Bombyx mori: one gene and its partners. The protein of the gene in region 3 purifies or fractionates together with the protein of the main gene of each other region. This does not show direct contact. Links are inferred from orthologs where the notes say so. Each region holds a gene or a part of one and is shown on either strand. Other genes may lie near its edges.

Evidence for each region.
Region 1: the proteins of armadillo repeat-containing protein 8 (region 3) and ubiquitin-conjugating enzyme E2 H purify together in Homo sapiens (affinity purification with mass spectrometry; 3 studies listed by BioGRID and IntAct, with this or other methods). This does not show direct contact. The link is inferred for Bombyx mori from reciprocal best matches to the Homo sapiens genes ARMC8 and UBE2H.
Region 2: the proteins of armadillo repeat-containing protein 8 (region 3) and E3 ubiquitin-protein transferase MAEA purify together in Homo sapiens (affinity purification with mass spectrometry; 5 studies listed by BioGRID and IntAct, with this or other methods). This does not show direct contact. The link is inferred for Bombyx mori from reciprocal best matches to the Homo sapiens genes ARMC8 and MAEA.

What each region holds. Positions count from the first base shown.
Region 1 is NC_085133.1:414,782-418,442, forward strand, and holds part of ubiquitin-conjugating enzyme E2 H, read left to right. Parts: intron 1-703; coding exon 704-780; intron 781-2,014; coding exon 2,015-2,182; intron 2,183-3,661. UniProt on the Homo sapiens protein: Accepts ubiquitin from the E1 complex and catalyzes its covalent attachment to other proteins. E2 ubiquitin conjugating enzyme that transfers ubiquitin to MAEA, a core component of the CTLH E3 ubiquitin-protein ligase complex.
Region 2 is NC_085132.1:9,954,856-9,958,516, reverse strand, and holds part of E3 ubiquitin-protein transferase MAEA, read left to right. Parts: intron 1-1,310; coding exon 1,311-1,463; intron 1,464-3,218; coding exon 3,219-3,362; intron 3,363-3,661.
Region 3 is NC_085117.1:9,122,496-9,126,156, forward strand, and holds part of armadillo repeat-containing protein 8, read left to right. Parts: intron 1-1,082; coding exon 1,083-1,298; intron 1,299-3,465; coding exon 3,466-3,537; intron 3,538-3,661. UniProt on the Homo sapiens protein: Component of the CTLH E3 ubiquitin-protein ligase complex that selectively accepts ubiquitin from UBE2H and mediates ubiquitination and subsequent proteasomal degradation of the transcription factor HBP1.

The DNA of each region.
Region 1 (3,661 bases), on a different chromosome or scaffold from region 3:
ACGATCGAATGAATCTTCATCCCCATACTGTACCAACTTCGAACGAGATTTATTCACGAGAGACGGTTGCAGGGCCGGACTTGAAACTTAATGCCGCTCCTGGGCACCGGAAAAAAATCCGCCCCAATACTGGTATTTTACTTAACTTATAGTTTATATATTTTATTTTTCAAAACTAAAATAACTAATTGATTGCAGAAACGTTATCATATGTTATATATTACAAAAACATAAGTAAAATATTTGTTGTTTTTTCTAACAATTATAAACTTTGCACTAAGGGTGACTCATCATTATAATACATTAAAAAAAAATTAAATTTATTTAATTCCAGAAAATAGAAAAATCGATTATTATTTTAAATGTCCAAGGAAATAAATTGATTAAATCATTCTGATTATAAATTTTTACCAAAAGTACCAAAATTATAATTCACAAATAATGGATGAATTGAATTTGTTAAATTATCAATTAAACAGAAAATTATTAATTCTAATAGAATTACTTAATTATATTGAGCAATCTTGATAAGATAAAAAAGAAATTTCACTTTCAAAAATTTGCCGCCCTTGGCACTTGCTCCGACTACCCCTAGTGTAAATCCACCACTGGATGTGAGCATTTTTAAAATTAATATTTGGCAATTGTAATGCGTGTGTGTGTACTGTTAACCATTGAAATTTCTTTAACTAAAACTATACAGTATCGAAAGCAAGCACGAAGTGACAATCCTGAGCGGCCTTAACGAGTTCTGCGTGAAATTCTTCGGACCTCCAGGAAGTGAGTACATGTTTATCCAGATCTATTATCTACAACCCATTATTATAAGCGAAACGTAAACAAACTAACTTCGTCCATTTCTCCGAGTGCTTCGGTGGGCTTATCTCGGCAAATGGCCGCAAACCAATTCGTGTACAGAGATAAACTCTGGTCAATATATAAATTTATGTGTTTATAAAAATTATTACTTACTATAAAAATTATTACTTACTTATTGGTGGTGGGACGTCTTGTGAGTCCCCACGGGTAGGTACCTCCACCCTGCTTATTTCTGCCGTGAAGCACATTGTACTGTTAAAAGTGAGACCTTACAAATGCTGTCTCAAGGTGGGTGACGGCATTTACGCTGTAGACGTCTATGGGCTCCGATAACCACTTAACATCAGGTTGGCCGTGAGCTCGTTTATCCACGTAAGCAATAAAATATAGATTATTTACAATATTCAATAATTTATGGGGCTAAATTTTATTATGCTTTTTAATTATGCTGCGCATTGCCGTAGGATTTATAATTGGCTGTTGGTTTTATATTGCTTGGTCTACGGCTCCGCTAACCACCTGGTGGGCGATGAGATCGTTTGCCTATCTACGCATTAAAAAAAGGAGTTGTAAACAGGTTACGTCATAAAAACCGTTGAATAACAAGGCTTCAAAGTTCAAAGAACCACACTCAATAAACAAATGTCCAAACGATTTGTTAATAATTCTTGTTAACGATCTCGTTTTGCTCAAATTCAATTAGAATATTCTGAAATCAAACGGTCGAATCTGTATTGAAAGATATTGTAACTTTACTGATCGTAGGTGATATCGTGAATATGCACTGGTAAATAGTATTACCAATCTGCCTGTTTCCATCGCAAAGCAACCAAGAATTAAAACATGGAACATTCTTATACAATACTAATCGGGACTCTACTGGCTGTGGCCTCAAGCAGGTCGCGATCTTCGTCTCCACATTTTTTTGTTTTTTTTTTTTTATTCTTTATTAGAGCCATACCTATTAGGTTAAGTCGGCAAATCTCCCCATTTAATACTATAAAAAATGCATACCATGTCTGCCACACGTACATAGATAATATGCGATACTGAGCCCGTATTACCGCCATTAAAAATAAGAGGTTTTTTTTTTTTTTAGGGGAATTTCAGCATTTTTGAAGTAAGGTGTTTGAGACTATTAATAAATGCCAGTAAAGATATATTCTAATCTACGTCGTTTGTTTTATAATTTAAGCGCCATACGAAGGTGGTGTGTGGAGAGTACGCGTGCACCTTCCCGATCATTACCCCTTCAAGTCTCCGTCCATCGGTTTCATGAATAAGGTCTACCACCCCAACATAGATGAGGTGTCGGGGACCGTGTGTCTTGACGTCATCAACCAGGCGTGGACTGCCCTTTATGGTATGTCTTTGTTCTCTTTTATAACTTCAATAGACTGAAAAGCGGCCAGGAGATTTGGTGGACACGTCTATGCCACTGCCTATCATTAGATACTGCCTCGATATCATCCCTAGAAGTACATTTTGTACCGCCGGAAGGGAGCTCCTTTTGAGTGACAATTAACGGCCGTCTGGTGTAGTGGTAAGTGACATGGTCACTACACAAGGGGGTCGCGGGTTCGAATCCCGCCAAGGGAAGATATTTGTATGATAAATATAAATGTCTTTCCAGGGTTATGGGTGTATATTAAATATATGTATGTGTATAATAAAAAATATTATATTTATTTCCGTTATCTGGTACTTGTAACACAAGTTCTTTACGAACTTAGCACGGGACCAGTTAACGTGGCGTGATTGTTAGTAAATATTTATATTTATTTAAAAAAAAAAAAAAAAAAAAAAAAAAAAAAAAAAAAAAAAAAAAAAAAAAAAAAAAAAAAAAAAAAAAAAAAAAAAAAAAACGTGGGTGCCACCGTCCAGCATGTCATACCATTAATACTTAAGATGAGGATAAGATATGTGGTACAGGTGAGTGATAAAACGGTTTTTCGTACAGTGACTGTATGAGAATTAAACCAACATGGTCTGAAATGGTACTGCGGGCCTAATTGACCTGATTGTAGTTACTCTACATGGGTAGTACTGAATTGAAATATTTTCATTTCGGTGTTGTAATGTACATATTTGGAAATGAGCAACAAGTATCTTGCCCATTTTTCTTATGGTAAAGTCGCGAAGATTTGAATTCGCTTGTGAAGATGTACTTCAATAAAATTATGTAGTCTCTAGTTTAATTATAGTTTTACAACCCGCTGTCTGTCTGACATTAATATTCCTCTGGAATCTATGCGGCTTGGTATATTAGTAGCGGATTTAGTGCCAAAGTTATCGGAGTTAGACAAAGCGAAGAAGGACGCAAGCAAGGAATATCATCATTGATTGACTTAACATGAGTTATGAATCAAGATACCATTCTGTATTTTCCGCTGGCTTGAATATAATACATTAGTGTTCACGGTTATATAGAATTAACCCTTTGAGATTCAAAATCCACACGTATTGGACATATAGTTTAGTCTTAGGACCACAAAGGGTTAATCGGTGGATGAGCTCACAGCACCGCTCTGAGAAACGTGAGTGAAGTCTCAGTTGCGTAAGTGCTGGCCCATACTTCGAACCAGAACATGTCATTAATCAGCATACACCAAGCCACCAACAACGACGAGATGTTGCTTCATTTTGGAAGTCGCAAAAGCGTATTGGTTATGCATTTCCTTAGAAAAATAACAGTGCAATCTGCAAGATTGTAACTTGGCATTGTACCACTCGAGTATACCGAATCCCTTGTCCTCAAGCAAGACGGCCTGGACAACTAGTCTGGCGATGTCGGATAAGGTTCTTGACCTCCTGGCGATGACGGATAAGGTTCTTGATCTCG
Region 2 (3,661 bases), on a different chromosome or scaffold from region 3:
ATTCTTCGGGATGGACGAGAATTCAAGTGAAGAGTATAAGCTCTTAAATAGGAAATAGTTATGTGGTCCCTACTCATGTGGGCAGACATCTTACCACCAGTAAATTCTATAATATTATTGCTATAATGTATGCCATGTTAGTAAATGTATGCATAATATAGTATGTGGTAAAGTAATAATGAACAAAAAATAAACTAAACATATATTATGTTCTCAGATATATAGAATTAACACAATTAAATCACTGTTCAGTTATACTTGATGATTTTTTAGTTACTTAAGTTTTTGTTCTAATAGATCTTTAAAGACTCGATAGAGTTATGATTAATAGAACTTTTTTTTTTTTAATTTAGTATAGATTTTCTGAAATTTGTTACTCGAATGGAATTGTAAAATTTTGGTATTAATAGTTTTACAATGTATAAAATAAATAAAATTATTAATAATGCTGTCAACTATTGCAATGTCATTTGTACAATTGAGGGGATCTTAATATGAACCTTCTTTTCTATTCACCTATATTCTGAATTAGTGCTCACTATGTTGTTATAGCTAATTAAATAAATAAATAAATGAAGACTTTTCAATTGAAGATAAGTTTTCACTTTCGGTACGCTGCTTCATTACAAACATAATATATAACGTGTTACAAAATACCCCGTAAAAAATATGATTAATTATCAAAGCCTATAATTTTGTCAACCCTAGTAAGCAGTAATTTAACAGAAAGGCCTACGTACCTATTTTACGTAATAATTGTCTACTTTGATAGTTTTTCTATTTTTCATTCATAAATGTTTGCTACTTCAATACAAGGATGTCATTATAGTCAAGTAGGTACTTGTCGTCCTTGTCAAAACTTTTGTTGTTCCGCGAATTAGGTAGAAATGTAGGTACATTCTGCGTTGCTTACCTACTCTTTAATTTTATTGAAATAGGATTTTCACATGAGTGCAAATAATAATATTTATTTTATTGTTATACAGCATTACTACGGCTGTTAAATATTGTGAACTAGCGACCCGCCCTCGCTTCACTTCGGAAACTGTAATTTATTATTGATTTCTCAACTATTTAATGGATGTTATTATACATATAAACCTTCCGCTTCAATCACTTTATCTATTAAAAAAAACCGGATCAAAATCCGTTGCGTAGTTTTAAAGATTTAAGCATACATAGGGATATAGGGATAGAGAGAGCGACTTTGTTTTATACTATGTAGTGATGGACTCGTTATAAGGCCCCATTTAAGCTCCTTTTTTTACGGGTAGTTTCTTAACACCGTGTATAATTACGATCATGCACAGGTGCCGTATGAAGTGTTTAACAAGAAGTACCGCAGTGCTCAACGCGTCTTCGATGTTGAGGCGCGTCAGGTTAGCAGTGCCGCCACAGAAATGGAAACGGTCAAGAACCAACCCATCACAAATACAGAGATCGATAGTCTATTGGGTGGCATGGTATGTACATTAAAATTATTATAATAAAATGTACCGCGAGAGCTTAATGTAATTACTGTAGTTAGATCAGCGGCTCTTAACCTTAGCGTCGCGGCAAATGGGGGTGTCACAAGCCCCTTTTGAATTTGTCGCTAGGTTTACAAACATTCATCAAGTGAATTTGAACGTGGTTGAATACGTGAGCTCACCTACTCGTAATAGCTCCTTAGACTACCAGCGAATAGGTAAAAAAAAAGTAATGAACCGTAAAAAAAACGCGAGATAAAATCGTTAAAGTAGCTTTAATTGTATCGTTACATTATTACTCGTAATACATTTTCTCGTAAAATGGTTCACGAGTTCCTTCTCCGGTGGCCAGCGTCGTATTAAAAGTTCTTTTCTCGGAAAAATATAAAATAGTCTGTGGCGTATTTTTCCTCCAGTTAGGTGTTTATTGTTCAAAACCTTTTACATGAATAAAAAATGGTGTATTACACGAATCGAGGATTGGGGGGTAAGGGGAACAATATGGACGACCAATCGCATTACTGCCAATTTGCATATCATCGTCCTCTACTCGTCTATCACTAATACGCGTACGATCTCGAACAGAAAACTGTGTCAGCTAATGTTTATTTAACATTTAGGCAAACGTTCAGTCTGGCTGTGAATTTGTGTCTAGAAACTTGTGTCTGAAGTTTTTTTTGTTTTTTTTTTTACGTCAATTCAGCAGTACACAACATTGAAGTTTGAAGTTAGACTTTTGGTATTTAAAATAAAATAAAATATTGTTATCATATTCCTAGAGAAGTAGGTAAGTCTGTACTTTTTTTTTATTGCTTAAATGGGCGGACGAGCTCACAGCCCACCTGGTGTTAAATGGATGCTGGAGTCCATAGACATCTACCACGTAAATGCGTCACGCACCTTGAGATATAAGTTCTAAGGTCTCAGTACAGTTACAACGGCTGCCCCACCCTTCAAACCGAAACGCATTACTGCTTCACGGCTGAAATAAGCAGGTGGTACCTACCCGTGCGGACTCACAAGTGGTCCTACCACCAGTAATTACGCAAATTATAATTTTGCGGGTTTCATTTTTATTACACGATGTTATTCCTGCACCGTGGAAGTCAATCGTGAACATTTGTTAAGTACGTATTTCATTAGAAAAATTAGTACCCGCCTGCGGGATTCGAACACCGGTGCATCGCTACATACGAATGCACCGGACGGACCCTTTAGGCCACAACAACTGCTAGATACAAGCGTAAACAATGCATCAATTTTCATTCATTGATTAACCTGGGTTTAGTCATCAGATAATGGGCAGCAGCATTCTCACTGGTCACCGTCCTCGCCGAATCTGTCGCTTGCGACGAAGACCTCGACGAGTTAATTAACCCATAGACACAGCCCACTGAGTTTCTTGCGAAGAACATGTAGCTCCAAAAAAAGGGTACTCAGGTAAGTAAGGCTCATCTCACAAACCACACCATATTCTGGTATTGCACTTGTCCTGCTAGAATTATTTTAGAATAATATCGCTCAGTTTATAGGTAAAAGCAAAGGTCTTCCATCGCGCAAGTAAGTTGTTAGTAGAGCGACTGCCTGCATATTTTTGTTTGGAACTTGTACATATGCAAGAGATTTAGATTCACAAAAGTAGAGGGCATCTCACACGCCCGACCTATCGGGTCGGATCGGTCTTCAATCTGGCCAGCGCTGGTCGGCATTTCAACGTAATCCTCAAACCTAAAGATTCAGCGTTTGCAGGTCGAGAAGTTGACAACGATGAAGCGAAAAGCGAGCGAGGCTATTAACGAAGAGCTCCAGGTCGCTTACGTCTGCAAGAAGCGTCTGGAACACCTGAAGGAGCAGGCCAGCGCCCTCGCCGAGCCGTCCTCCACGCAGGTGAAGGTGCTGTCACTATATCCGTATAAACGATATCTTGATGAATTCTAACATTGATTCTATTTATTTTACACTAGCGGTCCGCACCGGCTCCGCTCGGGTCTTTAACAAAAATTTCAACGATATTTGACGTTGTTTTATTTTTTTAAATAAAAGAACACTTGTTGCGGCATAACTATAATAGTTAGACATATGTTGTCGCGACACTTTTTGTAAATAATAATGTGTTTTACAAAGTCGTAGTATATTATTTTATTCTATCATCAATAGTTTTTGCAGGACACGCGATGTAAATAATAATTTAG
Region 3 (3,661 bases):
GCTAATAGAACTGTTTTAAAAATGTGATTTTTTAAAAATCAGTTTCTATTTTTTACTTTCGTTTGTCTTCGTTTTCGGAAGCGGTCTCCTAACACTCAGTATATAATAATAATAAAAAATCCTTTTTTTTTCTGTCTATTCGCTGGTAGCCTAAGGGGCTATTCCAGCTACCCCCAGACGGATTCATAATAATAATTTCAAATTATGAGCAGTAATTCACCGTCGCCGTTACAGAGGAAAGACGTTATTTTGAATTGAATTGACAACTGCGACAAAACCTATTAAACATATATTTAATTATTTTTTTTACAATCTAGTAATAACCAATGTAAGACAATAGTTTATGATCTATTTAGTGTATTATTTGACATGTTTTGGTAGTATCTGCGGCCCGGTTAGCTCCATTATAGATAACGTTACGTGCAGTAGACAAATAGTAATATGTAATGTACCTTGTCGAACTTATTCGGTGATGTATAATATTGTTGGTGGCGGCGGCTATTGTCAAATGTTTTTAAGCAAAAACCGTATGCCTAAAGTAGTATAAAAAATAATTAAAAAAAAACTGAAAACAATACTAAAATTCATTGGGGTACTGAGTCTGGGGTGATGTCTTTGAGCTATTGTCCAGATTTAATACGTTGCTAAAAGTTATTATCATTAGCTAATAGTTATTATTATTATACTCACTGAATTGACTTTTTAATTTTTTTTATTGTTTAGATGGGTGGAAGAGCTTACGGCCCACTTAATGTTAAGTGGATACTGGAGCCCATAGACATCTACAACGTAAATGACACCCACCTTGAGATATAAGTTCTAAGGTCTGAGTATAGTTACAACGGCTGCCACACCCTTCAAACTGAAACGCTATACTGCTTCATGGCCGCTGACTACATTTTTACTCTTAAATAATAACGCATTTTTTTATTGCCTTTGTAGGCAGACGAGCACACGTCCCACCTGATGGTGAGTGGTTACCGTCGCCCATGGACTTCAGTAATGCCAGGGGCAGAGCCAAGCCGCTGCCTACCAATTTAATTGAATACTCAGATATGAATCGTTCTGGTATCCCGGAATAGGTCGACACGTCCCTCCAGCGTTTAGCGGCGATATCGAATCACTTGATGAGTTCCCTGGCGGACATCGTGAACTGTCAGTCCGCGGCCGCCAAGCAAGGCGCGTTCAAATGTTTCGCTTCGCTCGGAGCGAACGACGAGGACATCAGGAAAATGATCATCGAAACCCACGGCCTGATGGTGCACGTCGTCAACGGACTGAACAATCCTGATCCCTGTGTAAGTTACACACACACACACACACGCACACAGCTATAGAATTATTAACAACTAGCTGTAACCGTCCGCTGGGCATTTAAAATTAACATTATTATTTCTCACCCCCACAAAGATTCTCATCATTAACGCCCCCGCAACTGGTGTAGGGAGTTCAACACTCATATAAATATTAGCCTATCTATTAAGTACATGTATTTTCTACATGGATACCAAGTTTCAAGTCAATCGCATGCATGGTTCAGTAGTTATAACGGGACATCCGTAAAAGCCACTGTAGATTTATATATTAGTATAGATGAAATTTCCTTTGAAAACAAATTAATATTTTTAATGAGTAATTAAATGAGGTCCCAGTATAACTTATATATGAGTCGTCTATTATCAAAGGCGGCAATCTGTACATTTGGACAAAAATTTTTTATTGATATGTCAATACAGATTTATTTGAATATAATCGTCTCCTTCAAAGAATACGGTTCAAAACCTGCATTAAATAAAGGTTAATAGTTAACCTGTTATTTATCTAAGATGTCGTTCCGAAGAGTTTTGTGACTGCCAATGGAATACAAAGTCAATAATTCGTTTTTCTGATTTACTAATCATTGTCCAAAAGTCAGATTGCCGCCTTTGATAATAGTCGACTCATATGTCAGAGACGGTCATTACTTTGGTAGCTAAACGAAACGCAGCACGATTCCCGAGAGATGGCAGCACGATCGCGCTATCGTCGGAACTCTGCTAAATTCGTGCTACGACAGAACTTAGCCGATGGAGGCGCTTAGACGCCATTACACACTTACCAACCAACCTTCTTGAAGAGCTGTGCCTCCGTCCTAAGAATTGTCATTCTTTTTCGTTTGCTAATATCAAGAGAAGATTTCTAAATTGTTCTAAGACAACAAACGTGATTGGTGTACTCAATATTTCTCTTAGCTCGATCACCCTATTCGCCCCTATGATGTCTGACGATGGTGTTAATAATTGTGGCTTCTCCGATATATACAACTTATGTTCATATTTATAAGTAATAGTGGACCCGACAGACGTCGTCCTGTGAATGCATACATAAAAAATTCAAAATTCAAGTTGATTCAGCCGTTTAGTTGCAGTACAGATAAATAACCTATATACCGACTGTAGCGCCATCTGCCGGGCTGATTTGTGAATTTAAACCATCCAGGGCGCCACCCAAACGCATATAAAAAAATTCATTCAAATCGGTCCAGCCGCTTAGGAGGACTTCAGTGAACATACACACGTGCAGTAGAATTATATATATAAAGACGTATATAGGTTATTTAAAATAATGTTTACGTCCATCCGTACGTGTACTATCGCCGCTTCGATAAGGAGCCGTGGCACATTTTCGTATTGATAACTCGAAGGAGGAATTTTAAAAGCTTGAAATTACGATTAATATTGGCATTGTCAAGTGAACATAAATTCTGATTGTGAATATTCGAATTCTATTGCCTCCATATCTATTAATTATGCCATATCTTAATTTTTAAATGAAACGTTAACATTGAATATTGTGTTCAGTACCTAGTAAGGGAATTCTCCAAAATATAGACTGAAGATAATACAGGTGCAGGCTTAACCCACTGTATTTTTCGTTAGAACTTCGCAGATGGTTCGATTCCGATCCATTGGTAGTTCAGCAAAGCACTGCTCTTGCATTTGATAGATTCAGCATAGCACTGCTCTTGCTAGGGCTAGTGTTACCAAGTGACCTCACTAGACTATCAGCTATTAAGTAAGGAAAGAAATAAAGATGCAGGCACTAGTCGACAGTAATTCACACGCTAACACATACTAGTCATACTCATACATTCGCATGTAACTTAATTATTAATGCCGATATTAAAATTCCGTGTACGGCCAATGAGCAAATTGAATTTACAACAAAAATTCCAATGCATTTTTGAAATTGAAACTTTTGAAGTACATTAAAGATTTGAAATTTGATGAAACGAAAAATCGACATTAAAAAGAGACAAACATATACATCTGTCTGAGAGAGAACGAGATATGTTTCCGAAGGTTCCACTCTTGATCCATGCGAATTGTTGATTGTTTTGTTTTCTGTCTTTGTTAAGATTATTGTTTCTTTTCGGCTTTGAAATCGACTACTTCACACCTTGATAGAAGTATGAATGTGTTACAGGTGAGTCTAGCGGCCGTGCGGTGCTTGCATTCGTTGTCAAGATCGGTTCAACAGCTGCGAACGACTTTTCAGGTTTAATAATTTTAATTCCAGTTCTTCATTCCCATTCCATCTAGCATTTAGTATTCTCGAATCAACAATTGTAAATAAATTTGTCAAATCGATTTGCGCGCCACCTACTGTACTGTACTATAAA